2 linked regions of the Xenopus tropicalis genome follow. The protein of the gene in region 1 purifies or fractionates together with the protein of each later gene. This does not show direct contact. Links are inferred from orthologs where the notes say so. Each region holds a gene or a part of one and is shown on either strand. Other genes may lie near its edges.

The links.
Region 2: the proteins of itk (region 1) and hsp90ab1 purify together in Homo sapiens (affinity purification with mass spectrometry; 3 studies listed by BioGRID and IntAct, with this or other methods). This does not show direct contact. The link is inferred for Xenopus tropicalis from reciprocal best matches to the Homo sapiens genes ITK and HSP90AB1.

The regions. Positions count from the first base shown.
Region 1 is NC_030679.2:14,164,771-14,174,866, reverse strand, and holds part of itk (tyrosine-protein kinase ITK/TSK), read left to right. Parts: intron 1-3,907; coding exon 3,908-4,012; intron 4,013-4,509; coding exon 4,510-4,588; intron 4,589-6,007; coding exon 6,008-6,136; intron 6,137-10,096. UniProt on the Homo sapiens protein: Tyrosine kinase that plays an essential role in regulation of the adaptive immune response. Regulates the development, function and differentiation of conventional T-cells and nonconventional NKT-cells.
Region 2 is NC_030681.2:2,230,712-2,241,456, reverse strand, and holds hsp90ab1 (heat shock protein HSP 90-beta), read left to right. Parts: upstream 1-3,502; 5' UTR 3,503-3,548; intron 3,549-4,743; coding exon 4,744-4,890; intron 4,891-5,180; coding exon 5,181-5,387; intron 5,388-5,508; coding exon 5,509-5,668; intron 5,669-5,752; coding exon 5,753-5,886; intron 5,887-5,962; coding exon 5,963-6,268; intron 6,269-6,366; coding exon 6,367-6,532; intron 6,533-7,078; coding exon 7,079-7,269; intron 7,270-7,357; coding exon 7,358-7,505; intron 7,506-7,643; coding exon 7,644-7,912; intron 7,913-8,002; coding exon 8,003-8,336; intron 8,337-8,454; coding exon 8,455-8,564; 3' UTR 8,565-9,341; downstream 9,342-10,745. UniProt on the Homo sapiens protein: Molecular chaperone that promotes the maturation, structural maintenance and proper regulation of specific target proteins involved for instance in cell cycle control and signal transduction. Undergoes a functional cycle linked to its ATPase activity.

The sequences.
Region 1 (10,096 bases):
GACTTCTAATATCCTTATAATTTACAATTGGGGGTATATTATCCCTTATAATATATGAGTGATACTCAGCGTTCCCTGTATAACTCAGCCTGCAGCCTTGTGCCTTTATATGGTCACAGAACCCCTCAGTGTCTGCTAATATCCTTATCATTTACAGTAGGGGGTACATTATCCCTTATAATACATGAGTGATACTCAGAGTTCCCTGTATAACTCAGCCTGCAGCCTTGTGCCTTTATATGGGCACAGAACCCCTCAGTGACTGCTAATATCCTTATCATTTACAGTAGGGGGTACATTATCCCTTATAATACATGAGTGATACTCAGAGTTCCCTGTATAACTCAGCCTGCAGCCTTGTGCCTTTATATGGGCACAGAACCCCTCAGTGACTGCTAATATCCTTATCATTTACAGTAGGGGGTACATTATCCCTTATAATACATGAGTGATACTCAGAGTTCCCTGTATAACTCAGCCTGCAGCCTTGTAAATTCTGTTCACGCAATATTACAGCACCGGGCAGTTGCTTTTTAGCCTTTTTAGCTTTTTTTCACAAATCTAAGGCAAATAGAGGTGTCACACAGTCAGGATGAAGAATCACAAGCCTTTAATAATTCCTGTGGTAATATACACGATTTTATCAAAACACTGTAAGGTGTGAAAATGAAGTGTAAAAAAGTTTTTGCCACACACAGACATTACAATGAATACACATCCCTTATTTAGTATGATTGTGTGAATTTCCGCAATCATTTCTTTACATGGAGACGTCGATATGATTTACCAGTATGTGTGAATATCTATGTTTGTTCCACTCAGTGTTACACACTGGGTATATTTGTGATAGAATTTTAAGCCCTGACAAGATATGAATGTGCTTATCTCCTTGCTCTACACCTCTCATTGTATGAGTGGGAGAAGTTTCCCTTTGCGCTGCTCTTTCACTTACTTCCTAGTGTCTGACAACAGATTTAGGCATCCATTAACGAGTTCAAAATTAAAAGTTCAAAATTCACATTTTTTGTGAAAACAAGATAAAAGAACACAATATAAAAATATAGTGCAGCATTCTTAGAAGCTGATGCACCTGTGCCACACACTTACACACTGTGTCAAAAACACGGATCTTAAAACCAAGTTTAAGAACCCAAATTTAGTGAAATAACATCCTTTTAAGTGCCACACATTAATCAAATCAGTGTATTTAGTGATTAGTAATTGAATTAAATAATGCCAGAGAATTCTCTAGTTGTATGTTTTTGACATGCACAATGGGGGGATTGATTATTTTATTCCTCTCCCCAAAACCATCAGGGACCATTTTTTTTTAATACAAAGAAGGGCTGTAACAATACTCTCAATCAATATATCATTAGTTACGTTTTCCAAACTGGTGCCAATCAGTGGGTAAACAATTACTGCCTGTTACCCCTGTTATGGGCCAAACTGGGCTGATCCAATCTTTTGGCCCTCAGGGGCCAATGGAACCTGCCAGGGGAGGGATGCATAAATTGCAATTTTCAAACCTGCCTGATACAAATCTGTCAGAGCATTACAAGTTTTACACTGTGAAAATCCAAATGATCAGCCATGATCAAAATACCCCCTCCCTGTTACCATTTATTGGAATAGATAATGGGATATCTATGGTATACACATTTCCCTGTTGTTCAAACATATGTATTAATAATTGGTAACTGCCTACTGGCATAATTGTCTGCTGTACAAATACAAAATAGCAGGGATGGAACAGTTATCAGGGATAGGTGCTTTTATATCTGGTTCTGCTTGAAAAGACCATAGTGGTCCATAAGCCTTACAGCAGGGCCACCCAACAGGGGAGCTTTCATTCGCCCACACTGTGAATGGCTGCACTTGAATTTCACTGTTTCTTTATTCAGTGATATACAAGCTTTTCGAATGTCTTAGCAGTATAGACAAGGCTTAGCATGCCAGCTAGAAAACTATGGTTAAATAACCTCAGATTTGTAAAAGTGAACAAGGTGCCCTAATCAATTAAATGAGTAGAGTAGTTAAAGGGTAAAGCTTTCCCAATACCCAGAGGAGAGCAGGAAGAGGGCAGGCACTGAGCAGAATTAAGAAGTGGAGGAGGGACATGAGAACATAAAGTTGGGAAGGAATCCCATTTCTACTAGAAGACCATTAAGTAGGAAAAGGGTTTGGGCCTAGGAGAAAAGGGAAAAGAAAATACTGCATTTTGTCATTGCCACAAAAATAGGTTCATATTCAAAGCTCATTATGAAATTGTAAATATTTCTTAAAATAAAGATGTTCATAACACCTTACTCTAGTCTAGATGGTAAGCGGTAGAGACATTTTCTTCAGTTTGGCAGAGATACTTATTTCCTGTCACTTTCAGGGCTTCTACCTACTGCACGCTGGAACATGAATGGTTACACATTTTTAAAAGATATTTCCTTCTACTGAAGAAACCTGACATATCAGTTAGTTCTATCCAATGCTTACATCTGTCAACCTTGGCAAAGGGTCATCCAATGACACAAATGGACACATTGCCTATCTCTGGGTTTAAATGATGGCTTGACACCAATGAAAAACTTTCATATATGTTACAGAATGACATGGAAGCATACGGCAAAATTTGGATGCCCTGGCTACTGCTTGAAAATGACCCTCAGCTGTTTATGGCTATTAGAGCCTAATCATAGAGTCATATTGCTAACTATAATATAACAAGAGATACCCCCTGTTTCACCAAATCAAAAGGTCCCAGCCACTATAACATCGTCCTTTACTGTAAATAGTTATAATTTCATGTCTTCATACTTACTCCTCTTTTTTACTTTCCTCCCTCCCCCTTTTTTTATTCTCTTTTTCTTTTCATTCTCCTTCTCTTTCCATGTGCTCATTGCCTTACAATAATCTCCTGCCACTCATGCTACCAATCAATAATGACTGTAGTAATGCAGAATATTGTAATGAATAACTTGCTAACAATGTAACGCAACATGGATAATAAAACTAATAAAAATTGTCAGTTTTAAATGATGGCTTGAATGACCACATCTAAAAAGAAGTTGGAGAAAGGTGTGACTTTTCTCAGTTTCAGAATTGCATATGATGGACAGGTTGACCTCAAACCTGGGGTACCTAGGAGATCTGGGTTTAGGTGTATATTTGGGCTACGGGCACCCTAAACAAGTCTTTGACCTCAAAAAGGGTCTTGAACTGGTTAAGTCTGTAAACCACAATCCTAGACCTATGAAGTGGACAAAAAGTTCCTATTGAAGGGGATTGTGGAATTGGTTTATATATCTATTACATGAACAAATATGTTTGACATCCAAAGTTTTGATTAGTTAGACATTGTGCTAATGAACATTCTTCCTCTGAAGGTCATTTCAGCATAAGTTTTGTTTTTTTAATTAAATTTTGTTGGGTTTTTTTTTCCATTGAAACAAGATAAAATGCCTGGACTTTGCATGCACATAAAGATTTGTGAAAGCAATGAAGTATAAATAGGTACATTTTCAAAAGAAAATCTGTATATTTAATTGTACTGTGGACTGAAGGTAAGAATACATGATAATCATGTATTCTTACTTCAGTCCACAGTACGAAGAAATAAAGAAAATTGTCGATAAAAATTGTACCATTTTAAAAACTGATTCCACCTTAAGACAAATTTTGGATAATGGTTAAAAATACGTGAGGGCTTGGCCAACAAGAGAGTGTGAAAAACAATGGAATATTGATTGGTCCTGGTTATTATTGTATTGGCTAGTAAAAAAAATGTGTTGACGCTAATGTTATCAGTGGGCCTTACCAGTTCCTTCATATATACATTTCTCATAATGTACAGTACCCGCTACACTCAGTATCTTTCTTTACATTCACTTAACTACTGTTCCCTCCTTTTCAGAAAATACGTGCTCTCCGTGGCTCCATTGACTTGGCTCGGATTAAATGTGTCGAGATTGTTACCACTGATCTCAGCATTGCTTGCAGGAACAAATACCCATTTCAGGTAAGGCAAATAAGATATATACATACATTCTAATTATGTGCGGGCTAATCCGAAAAACACATCTGACCTGCGGGTTTACTGGCGGCTGACAATTAGGCCACCACATCCAAGTCCTGTGCGGGTTGTACTTGCCCTGCTGCAGCTGGGCTCCCTCATCATCAATGGGGTGGTGGAATTTTTTTCCCAACCTCGGGCAGGGTCAGGCCTAGGTTGAGAACAGGCAGGTAAGTGTGTGTCCAGGTTGGAAATTTTCCACTAATTTTAGCACTAATACATACATTTATTTGGTGATTAAAAAGGACAATGATCCAAATTAAATTCATTGAGAAAACTCATTGAACTGTATTGGAAATCTGGAACTGAGTTGGGAGACAGATGGCCTTTAGCCAAATAAGCATGACAAGTGCCCTGTCTCATGCACCATAACATTATAATGGTATTAACCGGCAGGAACCTATCCACATTGGGTATTCTTAGACCCTTATTTCTCTTTTCAGGTTATCCATGATTATTTTCTGTACGTCTTTGCTCCTGACAGAGAGAGTCGTCAAAAGTGGGTGCTGGCACTGAAAGAAGGTAACACGACTTTGGTATTTCCTATTGAGTCCTATTCAGCCAAGCTGTTTGTTTTCTGTGTGTGATAATAAAACTGATCCTTCTACTGCAGTGATTCCCAACCAGTGGCTCGGGGGCAACATGCTGCTCACCAACCCAGTGGATGTTGCTCTCAGTGCCCCCAAACCAGATTTTTTTTTTAATTCCTGACTTGGTGGCAAGTTTTGGTTGAATAAAAACAAGATTTAGTACCAAATAAAGCCCCCTGTAAGCTGATAGGGTGCATAGAGGCTACCTAATAGCTATTCTTAGCCCCTATTTTGCACCTCCATGAAGTTTTATGATGCTTGTGCTGCTCTCCAAGTCTTTTTACATTTGACTGTGGCTCACAAGTAAGAAAGGTTGGGGGTCCCTGTTCTACTGGATGGGAACTAAGCTGCATTAATCTAAATGGATGATGACAAAACAATTCTAATGGGCTTTTTAAATATTTAGTATTTAAAGTGGACCCGTCACCCAGACATAAAAAACTGTATAATAAAAGCCCTTTTCAAATTAAACATGTAACCAAAAGTCATTTTTTTATTAACACATCTATACCCATTATATAAGCATTTAAAAGTCCCAGCTGTCAATCATATATTGCCTGACCCTCCTCTATGCCTTAGGCATAGGGGTGGGGCAGACAGTTACTTTCACTTTCAATTCAGAACTTCGTAGATGTCACTGCACTCCTCACATTCCCCTTCCCTCCTCACCATCTAATTGTGTAACCAGTGCATGGACTTGGGCATCAGGTACCCCCATAGTGGCACAGGAAGAATGCACAGCTTGCCTTAATAACAGTGTCCACAAAATGGAGCCTGCCTGTTTTCTGCAATGGTGAATTCCAGTGCTGAAGGAAATAAGTTTAAAAAAAATTGATATAGTGTAACTAAAGTTTATTTTGCTTGACAAACACAATAGAAAACAATTTGTAATTATTTCTTAGGGTGACATGTCCCCTTTAAGAAATGATGATGCAAATTATAAAAGAAAACCCTGTGTCTGCAAACCCCTAGGTCCCTAGCTTCTAGATAACAAATTTGCAGATAAAGAGATACACTCTTAAGGCAGTGGTACACGGGGAGATTAGTCGCCCGAGACAAATCTTTGTTGTCGCGGGCAACTAATCTCCCCGCAATGCCATACTTTGTCACCTCTAAACACCAGCCATAGGCAATGACTTGTGTGACTAAAGCTGGCAACACACTGATCTACCAGGTAATCAGAGTGTCCTGAACTGTGGGGCTGGCCACCCTTGGGAGATTCTGGTAGATCAAAGCATGTGTCTACAAGTAACTGGGTGTTCCTAGTGGATCAGAGTGTGGGCTTAAGTGTTCTTATTTTTAAATGTTTGGGGGCCATAAATGTCTCTCAGTGTCCACTTTCTCTCTGCAGAGACCAAAGACAATGACTTTCTTGTGGCTAAATATCACTCCAACTTCTGGTTGGAAGGGAGATGGAGATGTTGCTTCCAGACAGAGAAAATGGCCACCGGCTGTGCCTTGTACGACAGGAGCAAAGATGGTGAGTGATGTCCTTCCCTCTGTCTTGTTATGCTGTGTGTCTTGCCTGTTATAGCATGCATTGTTATTATTGGCAAACGATGCACACTTGTGGTTACCTTCAATGTTAAGTCTTCCAATAAGTGAGCTCTTTTACACGGCAGTCCGGAGTCTGTGGTACAAAATTCTAATCACTGGTGGTTGCTTAATATAAGGGAACCCATGTGATTATCCCATTAAGGGGTGTATAGTGGGATGGTAAAATACATGTTTTTAAACTATATATTTCCTTTAATTGTGCCCCAGGGAGACTCTCTCTGTGAACCATCCTCCGTGTTTCATGTTTCTCCCAATCCCACTGGTCATATCACCATGACCCATTAGAATATACGTTGACTACGGCTTTTGTATATATACTGTACAATGTCTGGTCTCTATACAGGAACGTCAGAATCAGTTTATCTCTTTTTATAAGCACTGATGTAATGACTCCATATGTCCTCTTTTATCTGATTGTGGTGAGGAATATTTACAGCAGTTGATCCTATCAGAGCTCTATAACAGGCTGCACATCCTGTCCATCAAAGTGTATCATGTACAGTACATTATATCTGAGCAATGCCCCTGCACCAGTTCTACCTTGGCATTCACATTTAGTGCAGAGTACAGTGAGCTTATGTAAGACATATAAGGCTCTGAATGAAACTTGCCCCTGCAGAATGGCATGCTGGTAAGGGTACAGGAAACCCATGTGCCATCTTTTATATTACAGGCGCAAGCTGCATTGTAAGTGGATGATATTTACAGTAGGCAAAAATATGGCGCTTTGCACCACATTTTTTTGTACTTTGCACATTGCCCCATATTTGTATATGAGTGCCCAATGTCTCCTAAGCTACTGAACAAGCTTCTGGGACAACTGGAACTTTTAAACCAAATGAGAGATTAGTTTATATGGATTGCTGGAAGGGGGCACAATGTTTGCATCTTATTACATAAGCCTGTCGGCAAAATGTCCAGGCCTTTTTGGCATGGAAGTAGGACTAGGTTATATCAGGTTGGCAAGAATGTATCATACCTGTGGTGTTGAAATACAATATTTTAAATTATAAGGGCCAAAATATACCTACTACATTACTCCACTAAAGGGTTTGTTGATCTTTAGATTACCTTTTAGTATGACATAGATATTGATAGACATTTTGCAACTAGTTTTCGTTTTTTAATTTTTGTGGTTTTTATTTTCAGTTATTTAGTTAGTTTATTTAGTTAAGCAGCTCTCCGCATTGGAACTTCAGGTCTTGTTTATCTTAGCAACTAGTCAGTGAGAGACTTGAATATGAAAATGAGAATGAATAAAATAATAAAAAGATAATAAATAAAAAGTAACAATAATAATAAAGTTTGTAACTTTACAGTGCAATAGTTTTTTGGATTCTGGGGTTAGTGACCCTAATTTGAAAGCTGGAAAATAATTTAGAAACTATAAAAAATAGATAATGAAGACCGAATTGCTAAGTTGCTATGAACAGGGCATTCTATAGCATACTAAGAGCAACTTAAAGGTGAACCACCCCTTTAATGGTTTATTGTTTTCTCTGGAAAACATGATTAGTCTGTATATTAGAGGGGGTTATAGACAGATAGGGGGTGTCCTTTTCTCCCATAAAACTTTCATTTGAAGTAGCGTAGATGGTTTTCACGGTGAGGGCAGTGAGGTTGGGGAATGCCCTTCCTAGTGATGCTGTAATGGCAGATTCTGTTAATGCCTATAAGAGGGACCTGGATGAGTTCTTGAACAAGCATTGTATCCAAGGCTATTGGTATATATGATCTATGTATGGGAGTGTATAGATAGGTCAGTTATGTGAGTGGATAGATGGGTCAGTATGGGTCTGTATGTGAGTGGATAGATGGGTCAGTATGGGTCTGTATGTGAGTGTATAGATAGGTCAGTATGGGTCTGTATGTGAGTGTAAAGATAGGTCAGTATGGGTCTGTATGTGAGTGGATAGATAGGTCAGTGTGGGTCTGTATGTGAGTGGATAGATAGGTCAGTGTGGGTCTGTATGTGAGTGGATAGATGGGTCAGTGTGGGTCTGTATGTGAGTGGATAGATAGGTCAGTATGGGTCTGTATGGGAGGGGATAGATAGGTCAGTATGGGTCTGTATGGGAGGGGATAGATAGGTCAGTATGGGTCTGTATGTGAGTGGATAGATGGGTCAGTGTGGGTCTGTATGTGAGTGGGTCAGTGTGGGTCTGTATGTGAGTGGATAGATGGGTCAGTGTGGGTCTGTATGTGAGTGGATAGATAGGTCAGTATGGGTCTGTATGTGAGTGTATAGATGGGTCAGTGTGGGTCTGTATGTGAGTGGATAGATAGGTCAGTATGGGTCTGTATGTGAGTGGATAGATAGGTCAGTGTGGGTCTGTATGTGAGTGGATAGATAGGTCAGTATGGGTCTGTATGTGAGTGGATAGATGGGTCAGTGTGGGTCTGTATGTGAGTGGATAGATGGGTCAGTGTGGGTCTGTATGTGAGTGGATAGATAGGTCAGTGTGGGTCTGTATGTGAGTGGATAGATGGGTCAGTATGGGTCTGTATGTGAGTGGATAGATAGGTCAGTGTGGGTCTGTATGTGAGTGTATAGATAGGTCAGTATGGGTCTGTATGTGAGTGGATAGATAGGTCAGTATGGCTCTGTATGTGAGTGGATAGATAGGTCAGTATGGGTCTGTATGTGAGTGGATAGATAGGTCAGTGTGGGTCTGTATGTGAGTGGATAGATAGGTCAGTGTGGGTCTGTATGTGAGTGGATAGATAGGTCAGTATGGGTCTGTATGTGAGTGTACAGATAGGTAAGTATAGGTTTGTATGTGCTGGGTTTGCTTGGAAGGGTTGAACTTGATGGACATTGGTCTTTTTTTAACCCAGCGTAACTATGTAACTTTGTAAAAAGAAAGTTACTAGACTCGACAGCAAAAACTGATATCCTGGGGGTTGTTTTTGCAACACACAAGTGTTCCCTATAGTAAGTCAGTTTATACACCTAGCTTCTAGTTGTGTTTGTCCCCCATTCTCACCACATTCCTAAACCACAGATACCATCTATTTTTCTTCCTCTCTCTCACTTCCCACTACTTTGTATAGTTACCTTCAGCATCAACACCTATGAGTGCTTTTGCTTTGTGATGGTCTGCTTTCCTATTCTATCTGATGGTAAAATTAAGGTTGATGTTACAAGTGTAGACCATTTAGGAACTTGCTACTATACCAAAAGGAGGCTCCCAACCTATCTTAGGTTAAAACAGCTTTTTTATGTATATAAAGGAACTTGTTGGCTACCAGTTACAATTTTAAACAATTTATAAATATGGAAACAAGCTCACCAGATGAAATAGAGGGCTCAGGTGCCCAAGCCCTTCACTAGAAATGTTTACTCCGTTCAATGCCCCAGACCCACAGCACAGGGAGAAACACAGAATCAAAGTACCATGTGGCACGCACTCAATGGGACACCAAGGCAGCGGTGATGGTTAAACAGCTCTATTCATAAATACATCCTCATTTAGGAACATTCATAAGTATGATAAACGAGAGTGTGTTTTGTCCCACAGAGTTTTATTCATTGTGTTATGGGACCAGTGCCTAGATTACACAGGGGGCCGCTGTTATGTATACTAGCACTGGGAACTTGCTGATGTAATCTGAACCATCTTTTACAACTAGAGAGGAACTGGTAGTGTCCATAGGAGAGTGATAGCTTTGAGAGTAAGCATTTTCCAATGTGATATGATTGGTGTGTTAGTGGGTAGGTCAGGGGTTGATTCAGCAATCTAACAATCTAGGCAGCTAAGTGGCAGATGAGATTTAATGTGGGTAAAAGTCATGCACCTGGGATGTAAAAATATGCAAGCCACTTATACCCTTAATGGGACTGCACTAGGCAAATCCCTAATGGAGAAGGACCTTGGAGTTC
Region 2 (10,745 bases), on another chromosome or scaffold:
TACACATTGAGCACAGTCCCACCCCATAACAGTGCCCAATTTGAGACGTCCCCCATAGCACAGTGCCCCAATTGAGACATCCCCCATACACGTATTGAGACAGTCCCCCCATACCAGTCCCCAATTGAGACGTCCCCCATACACAGTCCCAATTGGACCGTCCCCCCATACACAGTGCCCCAATTGAGACAGTCCCACCCCATACACAGTGCCCCCAATTGAGACAGTCCCACCCCATACACAGTGCCCCCAATTGAGACAGTCCCCCCCATACACAGTGCCCCCAATTGAGACAGTGCCCCATACACAGTGCCATTAGAAGCACATACAAGTGCCCCCAATTGAGACAGTGCCCCCATACACAGTGCCCCCAATTGAGACAGTCCCACCCCATACACAGTGCCCCCAATTGAGACAGTGCCCCCATACACAGTGCCCCAATTGAGACAGTTCCCACCCCATACACAGTGCCCCCAATTGAGACAGTCCCACCCCATACACAGTGCCCCCAATTGAGACAGTGCCCCCAATTGAGACAGTCCCACCCCATACACAGTGCCCCCAATTGAGACAGTCCCACCCCATACACAGTGCCCCCAATACAGACAGCGCTCCCTTCTTCTTCGTCCGCAGCGGCTCCTCAGTGTATGCGGCTCCTTCTCCGGCGGTCCCTGGCCCTTTTATAAGGTTGCGCCCGTGCGTAATGACGTCACCCGTGCGTAAGGGCGCAACCTTATAAAAGGACCTGGGACCGCCGGAGAAGGAGCCGCATACACTGAGGAGCCGCTGGGGAGGAAGGAGCGCCGACGCATCCCGCTGTCCCGGGTAAGTCAATGAATGTTCCGCATTTCCGTAATTTATTACGGAAATGCGGGACATTCATGGAACTATCCGGGACAGCGGGATGCGCTCTAAAATCTGGGACTGTCCCGCGGAAAGCGGGACAGTTGGGAGGTATGGGAATGGGATAGGGACCTTAGATTGTAAGCTCACTGGGGCAGGGACTGATGGGAATGGGATAGGGACCTTAGATTGTAAGCTCACTGGGGCAGGGACTGATGGGAATGTGATAGGGACCTTAGATTGTAAGCTCACTGGGGCAGGGACTGATGGGAATGGGATAGGGACCTTAGATTGTAAGCTCACTGGGGCAGGGGCTGATGGGAATGTGATAGGGACCTTAGATTGTAAGCTCACTGGGGCAGGGGCTGATGGGAATGTTATAGGGACCTTAGATTGTAAGCTCACTGGGGCAGGGACTGATGGGAATGTTATAGGGACCTTAGATTGTAAGCTCACTGGGGCAGGGACTGATGGGAATGGGATAGGGACCTTAGAGTGTAAGCTCACTGGGGCAGGGGCTGATGGGAATGTGATAGGGACCTTAGATTGTAAGCTCACTGGGGCAGGGGCTGATGGGAATGGGATAGGGACCTTAGATTGTAAGCTCACTGGGGCAGGGACTGATGGGAATGGGATAGGGGCCTTAGATTGTAAGCTCACTGGGGCAGGGACTGATGGGAATGTGATAGGGACCTTAGATTGTAAGCTCACTGGGGCAGGGGCTGATGGGAATGGGATAGGGATCTTAGATTGTAAGCTCACTGGGGCAGGGACTGATGGGAATGGGATAGGGACCTTAGATTGTAAACTCACTGGGGCAGGGACTGATGGGAATGTGATAGGGACCTTAGATTGTAAGCTCACTGGGGCAGGGACTGATGGGAATGGGATAGGGACCTTAGATTGTAAGCTCACGGGGCAGGGGCTGATGGGAATGGGATAGGGACCTTAGATTGTAAGCTCACTGGGGCAAGGGACTGATGGGATGGATAGGGGCCCTTAGATTGTAAGTCACTGGGGCAGGGGCTGATGGGATGTGATAGGGACTTAGATTGTAAGCTCACTGGGGCAGGGGTGATGGGAATGTGATAGGGACCTTAGATTGTAGCTCACTGGGGCAGGGGCTGATGGGAATGTGATAGGGACCTTAGATTGTAAGCTCACTGGGGCAGGGCTGATGGGAATGGATAGGGACCTTAGATTGTAAGCTCACTGGGGCAGGGCTGATGGGAATGTGATAGGGACCTTAGATTGTAAGCTCACTGGGCAGGGACTGATGGAATGGGATAGGGACCTTTAGATTGTAAGCTCACTGGGCAGGGGCTGATGGGAAGGGACTTAGAGGTGTAAGCTCCTGGGGCAGGGGCTGATGGGAATGGGATGGGACTTAGATTGTAAGCTCACTGGGCAGGGGCTGATAGGGAATGTGATAGGGACCTTAGATTGTAAGCTCACTGGGGGCAGGGGCTGATGGGAATGGGAATAGGGACCATTAGATTGTAAGCTCACTGGGCAGGGGCTGATGGGAATGTGATAGGGGACCTTAGATTGTAGCTCACTGGGGCAGGGGCTGATGGGAATGGGATAGGGACCTTAGATTGTAAGCTCACTGGGGCAGGGGCTGATGGGAATGGGGATAGGACCTTAGATTGTAAGCTCACTGGGCAGGGACTGATGGAATGGATAGGGGCCTTAGATTGTAAGCTCACTGGGGCAGGGGCTGATGGGAATGGATAGGGACCTTAGATTGTTTAGCTCACTGGGGCAGGGGCTGATGGGAATGGGATAGGGACCTTAGATTGTAAGCTCACTGGGGCAGGGACTGATGGAATCGGGATAGGGCCTTAGATTGTAAGCTCACTGGGGCAGGGACTGATGGGAATGGGATAGGGACATTAGAGTGTAAGCTCACTGGGGCAGGGGCTGATGGGAATGGGATAGGGACATTAGAGTGTAAGCTCACTGGGGCAGGGGCTGATGGGACAGAATACCAGGGCTACAGAAATAAAACAACCAAATAAACCCTTTATCTTCCCATGTGACTCAGCAGCCATTTGTCCCTGCAGTTAGTGACGTAACAGGAGCCTTGCCCCTCCCACTAGCCTGGCCCCTCCCACAAACAACAGAGGGCGAGCGGAATGACAAAGCAGCAGATGGCGGCAGCGGGGCTGAAGGGTTCATTTGCCTCACAGACAAGGAAGAAGGGGCGGGGCAGGGGAGAGGCAGGGGAGGGACAAAAGGCGGAGTCACTAGAGAAACTACTAGAAAATTACACTACCTCCTCCGCTTGGTATCCTCCCGCCAAGGAAAAAAAATAGTCCCAGCAGCATTTGCTATAAGGAGGGAACCTCCCGGGCCGGCCAGAGGGGGCGCTGTGAGTGAGTGCTGAGTAACACAGAGTTGCGCATGCTCAGTTCCCTGAGGAGAGACGCACTCGGTAGTTTGATTATTGCAGCTGGGCTGAAAGGCGAAATCCCAGATCCGTACTGGGAAGCCCTGGTCCCACGGAGCTACTGCCCGCACTCTCTCTCACTGCGGCTCCGCGTACTCAGCCCTAGCTGCAAATAGTGCCGGCACTGGTGCAGGCGGAGGGATCTGGGGCTGCTCTCCGCCCAGTATAAAAGGTGCCCGGCTGCTTGTTTCTTTCCTCTTCATTCACCAATTCCCCAGCAGTGTTCGGCCGCGGAGATCCTTAAGCAGCCAAGGTACCCGGGGGGGCATTGTGTGGGGCTGCTGGGGGCATTGTGTGGGGCTGCTGGGGGCATTGTGAGGGGCTGCTGGGGGGGGCATTGTGAGGGGCTGCTGGGGGGGGCATTGTGAGGGGCTGCTGGGGGGATAGTGAGGGGCTGCTGGGGGGCAGCGGGCTGGGTATTGGCACTTGGGAGTCCGAGTGGGGCAATGGCTGGAGAAACTGAGGCAGGAGCCATAGTAGCGGGGAGAGGGGCAGTTAGATGGGGGAGAGGGGCAGTTAGATGGGGGAGAGGGGCAGTTAGATGGGGGAGAGGGGCAGTTAGATGGGGGAGAGGGGACATTATCGTTGAGGCGAATTCGGGGCCCCTGTAATTCTCTACGGGAAAGGTTCATTCTGTGTATTATTCCCGGGGTTTCCCTAACTGTCAGTCCCGGCCCCGCCCCCCGGCCCTGGAACCTTCTAGATCTTTCTACCCCCCCCCGCGGGTGGGGGCGCACATGGTTAGGGAGCCGGTAGCGCCGCCATGTTGGGATGAAGCGCGTCACAGCCGGGGCCGGGCCGTGTATCCATGGTAACGGCTCCCCCTGCGCCCGGTCATGGTCTGTCCCGCTGCTGCTTGCGCCGTATGGGCTGGTCCATGTGTTCCCTCTGCTGGGGGGGGGGGAACGAATAACACTGACAGCTGCCCCACACCCGGGGCTCCTGTTGCCCCCCACACCCGGGGCTCCTGTTGCCCCCCACACCCGGGGCTCCTGTTGCCCCACACCCAGCGGGACAGGTCGCAAATGTCTTTCAGCCCAAAATCGGGGGAGGGGGGATTTAAAAGCTTCTCACAGGGTCTTAAAGGGCCAGTACCCCCAGTTACTCAGTGTGAGCTCAATGAGTAGAGCAAGTTCTGCACAGAGATCTGCCTGTTGCTGTAAGGAGATAATAGGACTTATTTAATATAAATATATTTCTCTAACCAGGGTGGAACTGAAAGTAAAAGTCCCTTACATGGCTGCTGTGAAGCCTCTATATAAACAAACCCCTCCCTTTCCCCAATGGCAGGGTGTGAGTGTTATACAGAGGCTGCTGCTTTGTTTCCATTCTGCTCATAAGAGCAGGAAGTAGAATGTTGCATAGGAGGGGGCAGTTATACGGCCCCTGGTGTTGCACGGGGCAATAGTCCTGCCTAAGACCCAGCTGACTCTCGTTCCCTTACACAGATGCCTGAAGTCGCTCACAATGGAGAGGAGGAGGTGGAGACATTTGCCTTCCAGGCGGAGATTGCGCAGCTCATGTCCCTCATCATCAACACCTTCTACTCCAACAAAGAAATCTTCCTGCGAGAGTTGATCTCCAACGCCTCCGACGTAAGTCTGTCCTTGGCTGCCTATGTGCCAACTGTGCCAGTGCCCAAGCACCCATATGTGGGGGGAGGGGGTATCTGAACTAAAGCAGAGCTGGCCTCTTGGCTCAGCTAGTGATAGAATGGTGTGTGTGCTCTGCAGCCAAGCTGTTATATTAGTAGGTATTGTGGCAGCTTCACTGCCTGTTGCATAGGGGTCTGGGGGGACTGTTATAATGAGGGGGGGGGGGCCCTCTGGGCTAGTAGCCACTCTCTGCCAATCCTCAACCTTCTCCCCATTGTTCGGTGCCGCAGGCCCTGGATAAGATCCGATACGAGAGTCTGACCGATCCCTCCAAGCTGGACAGCGGCAAAGACCTGAAGATCGACATCATTCCCAACCGCCAGGAGCGCACACTGACTGTCATCGACACCGGGATTGGCATGACCAAGGCCGACCTCATCAACAACCTGGGAACCATCGCCAAGTCCGGCACCAAGGCTTTCATGGAGGCCCTGCAGGTCGGTACCAGCGGCCCAATATAAAGCATTGACTATTAAATGCTGGCGCATTAAGTACCGTCCACTAGCCAGTGGTGTCTCCCTGAAGTCCAATTGAGTTGTGGTTCCTTCTCTCTGACAGGCTGGTGCTGACATCTCTATGATTGGTCAGTTCGGTGTGGGTTTCTATTCTGCGTACTTGGTGGCAGAGAAGGTCTTGGTCATCACCAAACACAACGATGATGAACAGTACGCGTGGGAATCCTCCGCCGGCGGCTCTTTCACCGTGAAGACTGACCATGGTGAGTTTGTGTTCAATTGGACCAGAATTCCCCTAAAGGCCTGTAAGTTGGCACCACTAACCCCAAACTGGTATTTCCTGCTAGGTGAGCCCATTGGCCGTGGTACCAAAGTCATCCTCTACCTGAAGGAAGATCAGACAGAGTACCTGGAGGAGAAACGTGTCAAGGAAACCGTGAAGAAACACTCGCAGTTCATTGGCTACCCAATCACCCTCTATGTGAGTATGGCCGGCCAGCTGGGGGCAGGGCCCTGGGTCTGATGTACGATTGGCTCACTATTTGTCTCCCCGACAGCTGGAGAAGGAGAGGGAAAAGGAGATCAGCGACGATGAGGCAGAGGAGGAGAAAGAGGAAGAAAAGAAGGAAGAGGAGGGAGAGAACGACAAACCTAAAATAGAGGACGTGGGCTCCGATGAGGAAGAGGAGGGGAAGGACAAGAAGAAAAAGACAAAGAAGATCAAGGAGAAGTACATCGACCAGGAGGAGCTGAACAAAACCAAGCCCATCTGGACCCGTAACCCAGACGACATCACCCAGGAAGAGTACGGAGAGTTCTACAAGAGCCTGACCAATGACTGGGAGGATCACTTGGCTGTGAAGGTAAGAAGAAAAAAAAACCCCATAATGCACCGCTTGTTCAGCTCTGGGTTCCACACTCTCTCCTGAGCGCTAACACCCCCTGTTCTGCTTCCCCCCAGCACTTCTCTGTGGAGGGGCAACTGGAGTTCCGCGCTCTGCTCTTCATTCCCCGCCGCGCCCCCTTTGATCTGTTTGAGAACAAGAAGAAGAAGAACAACATCAAGCTGTACGTGCGCCGCGTCTTCATCATGGATAGCTGCGACGAGCTGATCCCAGAGTATCTGAGTAAGTACTGGCCCGAAGCTTAGTGGGCCCCCTCCTTCCCCCCCCCCCCATAGGATGGGATGCTGGGTAAAGCCTTCCAATAGTCTGGCATTAGATGCTTCATTAACAGTCTAGCATGTAGATCTTTTGCTTGATGTGGTGACACAGGCAGGCAGGGCCCCACGCACACCCATAGGCACACAGGCAGGCAGGTAAGTGTGTGGGGGGGCAGGGGCAATTAATTGCCTATTGTAGTATTTCAGCCCAAGAATCCTTGTCTCTTACGCACAGGCCTCTTGGTGCACTCGCGTATCTATAAGGGGAAGACACACGGAGCTACTAGTAGCAGCTACAGAAACAGACAATGTTGATCATTTGCTGATAATTGTCTCTACGTGTGTCTAGCAGAAGGAATTCTCAGTATTGTCTATGGCAGGGGATTTGGTAGCTGCTACTAAGCTGCGCACACACACACGTAGGCACACAGGGCCCCACAGATGGATCCTGAATGTAGGACTTTTGGGCAGTCTCTCCCTGTGCCGCCTCTAACTCTTTTCTCTCTTCCAGACTTCATTCGCGGGGTGGTGGATTCTGAGGATCTGCCCTTGAACATTTCCCGTGAGATGCTGCAGCAGAGCAAGATCCTGAAGGTGATCCGCAAGAACATTGTCAAGAAGTGCCTGGAGCTCTTCACCGAGCTGGCCGAGGACAAGGAGAACTACAAGAAGTTTTACGAGGCTTTCTCCAAGAACCTGAAGGTGAGCAGTGCAGGAGGGTGCCCTGGGCTGTAGTGGGCGGAGCTCTTGTTCGTCCCAGTGGCTCTTGCTGACCTACCTCTCCTTGCAGCTCGGCATCCACGAGGATTCTACCAACCGCAAGAAGCTGTCTGAGCTCCTCAGGTACCACACTTCCCAGACAGGCGACGAGATGGCCTCCCTAACAGAGTATGTGTCCCGTATGAAGGAGAACCAGAAAAGCATCTACTACATAACTGGTAAGTGGCCCTTGCAGCAAGATATCCCATTATGGGCTCCCCTGGGAGAGAGGGGTATTCCTCTTCCCCTGGGGTCACTTCTCCGCAGCTCGCTTAGAGGAAGAGTCTGACACGTGACCCCTCTGTTCTGTCTCGCAGGTGAGAGCAAGGACCAGGTGGCCAACTCCGCCTTCGTGGAGCGGGTGAGGAAGCGTGGCTTCGAGGTGGTCTACATGACTGAGCCCATCGACGAGTACTGCGTGCAGCAGCTGAAGGAGTTCGACGGGAAGACGCTGGTGTCTGTGACCAAGGAGGGCCTGGAGCTGCCAGAGGACGAGGAAGAGAAGAAGATGATGGAAGAGAACAAGACCAAATTTGAGAGTTTGTGCAAACTGATGAAGGAAATTCTGGACAAGAAAGTAGAGAAGGTGAGGATGGGGCAGAAGGAAGTAATGTTGCCCCTCCCCTAGTATAGCCTTGTCCTGCTAACCCCCAACCTGCCCCTTGTTACCCCGCAGGTCACCGTGTCCAACAGACTCGTCTCCTCTCCCTGCTGTATCGTCACCAGCACCTACGGCTGGACCGCCAACATGGAGCGCATCATGAAAGCGCAAGCTCTGCGGGACAATTCCACCATGGGCTACATGATGGCTAAGAAGCACTTGGAGATCAACCCCGAGCACCCCATCGTGGAGACCCTGAGGCAGAAAGCGGAAACCGACAAGAACGACAAAGCAGTGAAGGACCTGGTGGTGCTGCTCTTCGAGACCGCGCTGCTGTCATCCGGCTTCTCCCTGGACGACCCCCAGACGCACTCAAACAGGATCTACAGGATGATCAAGCTGGGTCTGGGTAGGTGTCGCTGAGCATTATGGGAATGGCTACCAGAATCCTTCTGCCATAAAGGGGATTTGTATGTAGGGTCCTGAAACCACCACATTTAGGGTTAACTTCCCCTTGTCTCTCTCAGGTATTGATGATGACGATGCAACAGTGGAGGAAACTTCCCCCTCGGTGGCAGACGAGATCCCACCCCTAGAGGGCGACGAAGATGCTTCTCGCATGGAGGAAGTCGACTAATCGGTTTGCTGCCCGCTCGTCCTGCCCCCTCCCACCCGCGTATGTGCACTGTCTGTAACTCGGTAGGGGGGCGACTTCTCCCTTGGACTCTAAATATCACATGATACTGGGGATGGACTTCCCTCCTTATAGAATATATTTGGGGGAGCTTCAAGACTGATGGCTGCTGACTTTAACCCTTTCCTCTGCACCCCCCTTGTTGTGTTCCAGTCTGAGCAGTTAGTTATGTAAGTTATTGTAGCAGTATGGCAGCTAGCTTGGCTTGAGGTAGCCCTGAGTTAGTGGCCCGCTGTTAGCCAGCTGCTGGGGGGGGGGGTCTGTTTGACTCTCTCAATGCACCTTACAGGCCCCCCCTCTAATCCTACCCTCTGCCACTATTGTAATGGGCGTGTCCCTCTGTGCCCCCCCTGAGGCACGGGGGGTACTTACTGGGAAGCTTTAGAGACCCCCCTGCTGCCTTCTCCCATTCACTTGCATGGGGGGGGCGATTGAATGTGCTGGTGTTTGCAAATAGAAACGCCAGGCCAGTCTGGGGGGGTGAGGTACTTCTGCCCAATGCTACCTCAATCTGTAGCACCCCCAAATCTGCTGAGTGGTAGCCCCCATCTCTCTGACTGGAATCTCGTGCCCCCGCCCCCAGGATGTCTTGAATGCTGAGACCCCACCCCCATCCTACACATCTCTCTATCGAGAGCCTCAATACGGAACTTTATTTTATTTTTTGTTGTTGTAAAGTTGAGAAATGTTGCGCAAAATAAAGATCTTTTTACAGTGAAACAGTTTGTCTCCTGTTTATGTGCTGCCGACTGCACCGGATACAATGCTGTGTTACAGGGCTGTTTCCCCAACTATAAACCTTATGTGCAGTAGTTACAGCCTTGGATTTCTATAAGGCTTGGGATACTGGCATGATATTTATGGGACACTTTGTATCTCTAACACTGTTACACAGCAAATAATTCCCTCTGTCATTTATCCTTTTATTCTTCAACCAACAAATGTATTTGTAGCTGTAATATTGGTGTGTAGGCGCCATCTCAGTGCCTTGTGCCCGAGTCTGAGCTTTCAGCCAGCGCTACACATTAGAACTGCTTTCAGCTAACCTATTGTTTCTCCTACTCCCATGTAACTGGAGGAGTCCCAAGCCGGACTTGGATTTCTTACTATTGAGTGCTATTCTGATACCTACTGGGAGCTGCTATCTTGCTCCCTTCCCATTGTTCTGCTGATCGGCTGCTGGGGGGGAGGGGGATATCACTCCAACTTGCAGCGCAGCAGTAAAGTGTGCCTGAAGTTTATCAGAGCACAGCTCCTTGTTACAGCCAGGAGAGGGTGCTGTTCTGAGCATGATTCAGCCTGGCTGCCCCTGCTCATATGAAAATGATAATGCCCCTCCCTGTGCCTTGTTGCCCAAGGCCATTATGTTTGTGCTGCTGGTTTCTTCTTGCCAAGTCCATAAAGCCCTTAGGGTGGGTGTTGTAGGAGGGGCCACTGGTAAAGGCTTAAATGACCATCTCTGGGGGTTGGGGGGGGTTGTACCAAAGAGCAAGGTGGGAGTTGTAGTTCCTTAGAAGTATGTAAGGGTGGTGCTGTCTTGTTCTATTGGGGGTCCCCTTATTGCAGCACAACTGTAACACTGTGTGGGAGCAGTGGGTGGCGCTGTTGCTCCCTGATGTTCCTAACTCCGCCCCATATATTTATATGCAGAGATGCTGCCCCACCCCCCCAGGGGCTTCTATGCCCGGCTGGGCTAATCAGCAATTCCTAGAAATCCGTGCTGCAGCCCGCACTGGTGTATGTGCCCAATACCCCCTCTGAGTATCAGGAAAGGAACTTGCCCCAGAGTGGGGAGCAGAATCAGATCTCTGGCCCTTGCCGGCCGCACTGACTTATGGGATTTGTGGTCCTTGTATCTTTTCCTCCTTTCCTGTTGCCTTTTGGCTGCCGGAGGCTTCTGGGAGCTGTAATTTGTATGGATTTTTATTAAAGGGAAAGTTGCGTTCTGGGGGAAGGAGGGCCACCAAACCCACTGCCAGTCACTTATCTGCCCAAATGTGGGGCAAATAGAGGAATCCCTTACTATAAAGGAGGGAGCTGCCCTATCGATTGCAGGATATTTCAGGGGGAAGGAATTATGCAGATTCCTGTATGAAGCCCGTTGTTTTTGACCCAATATAATGA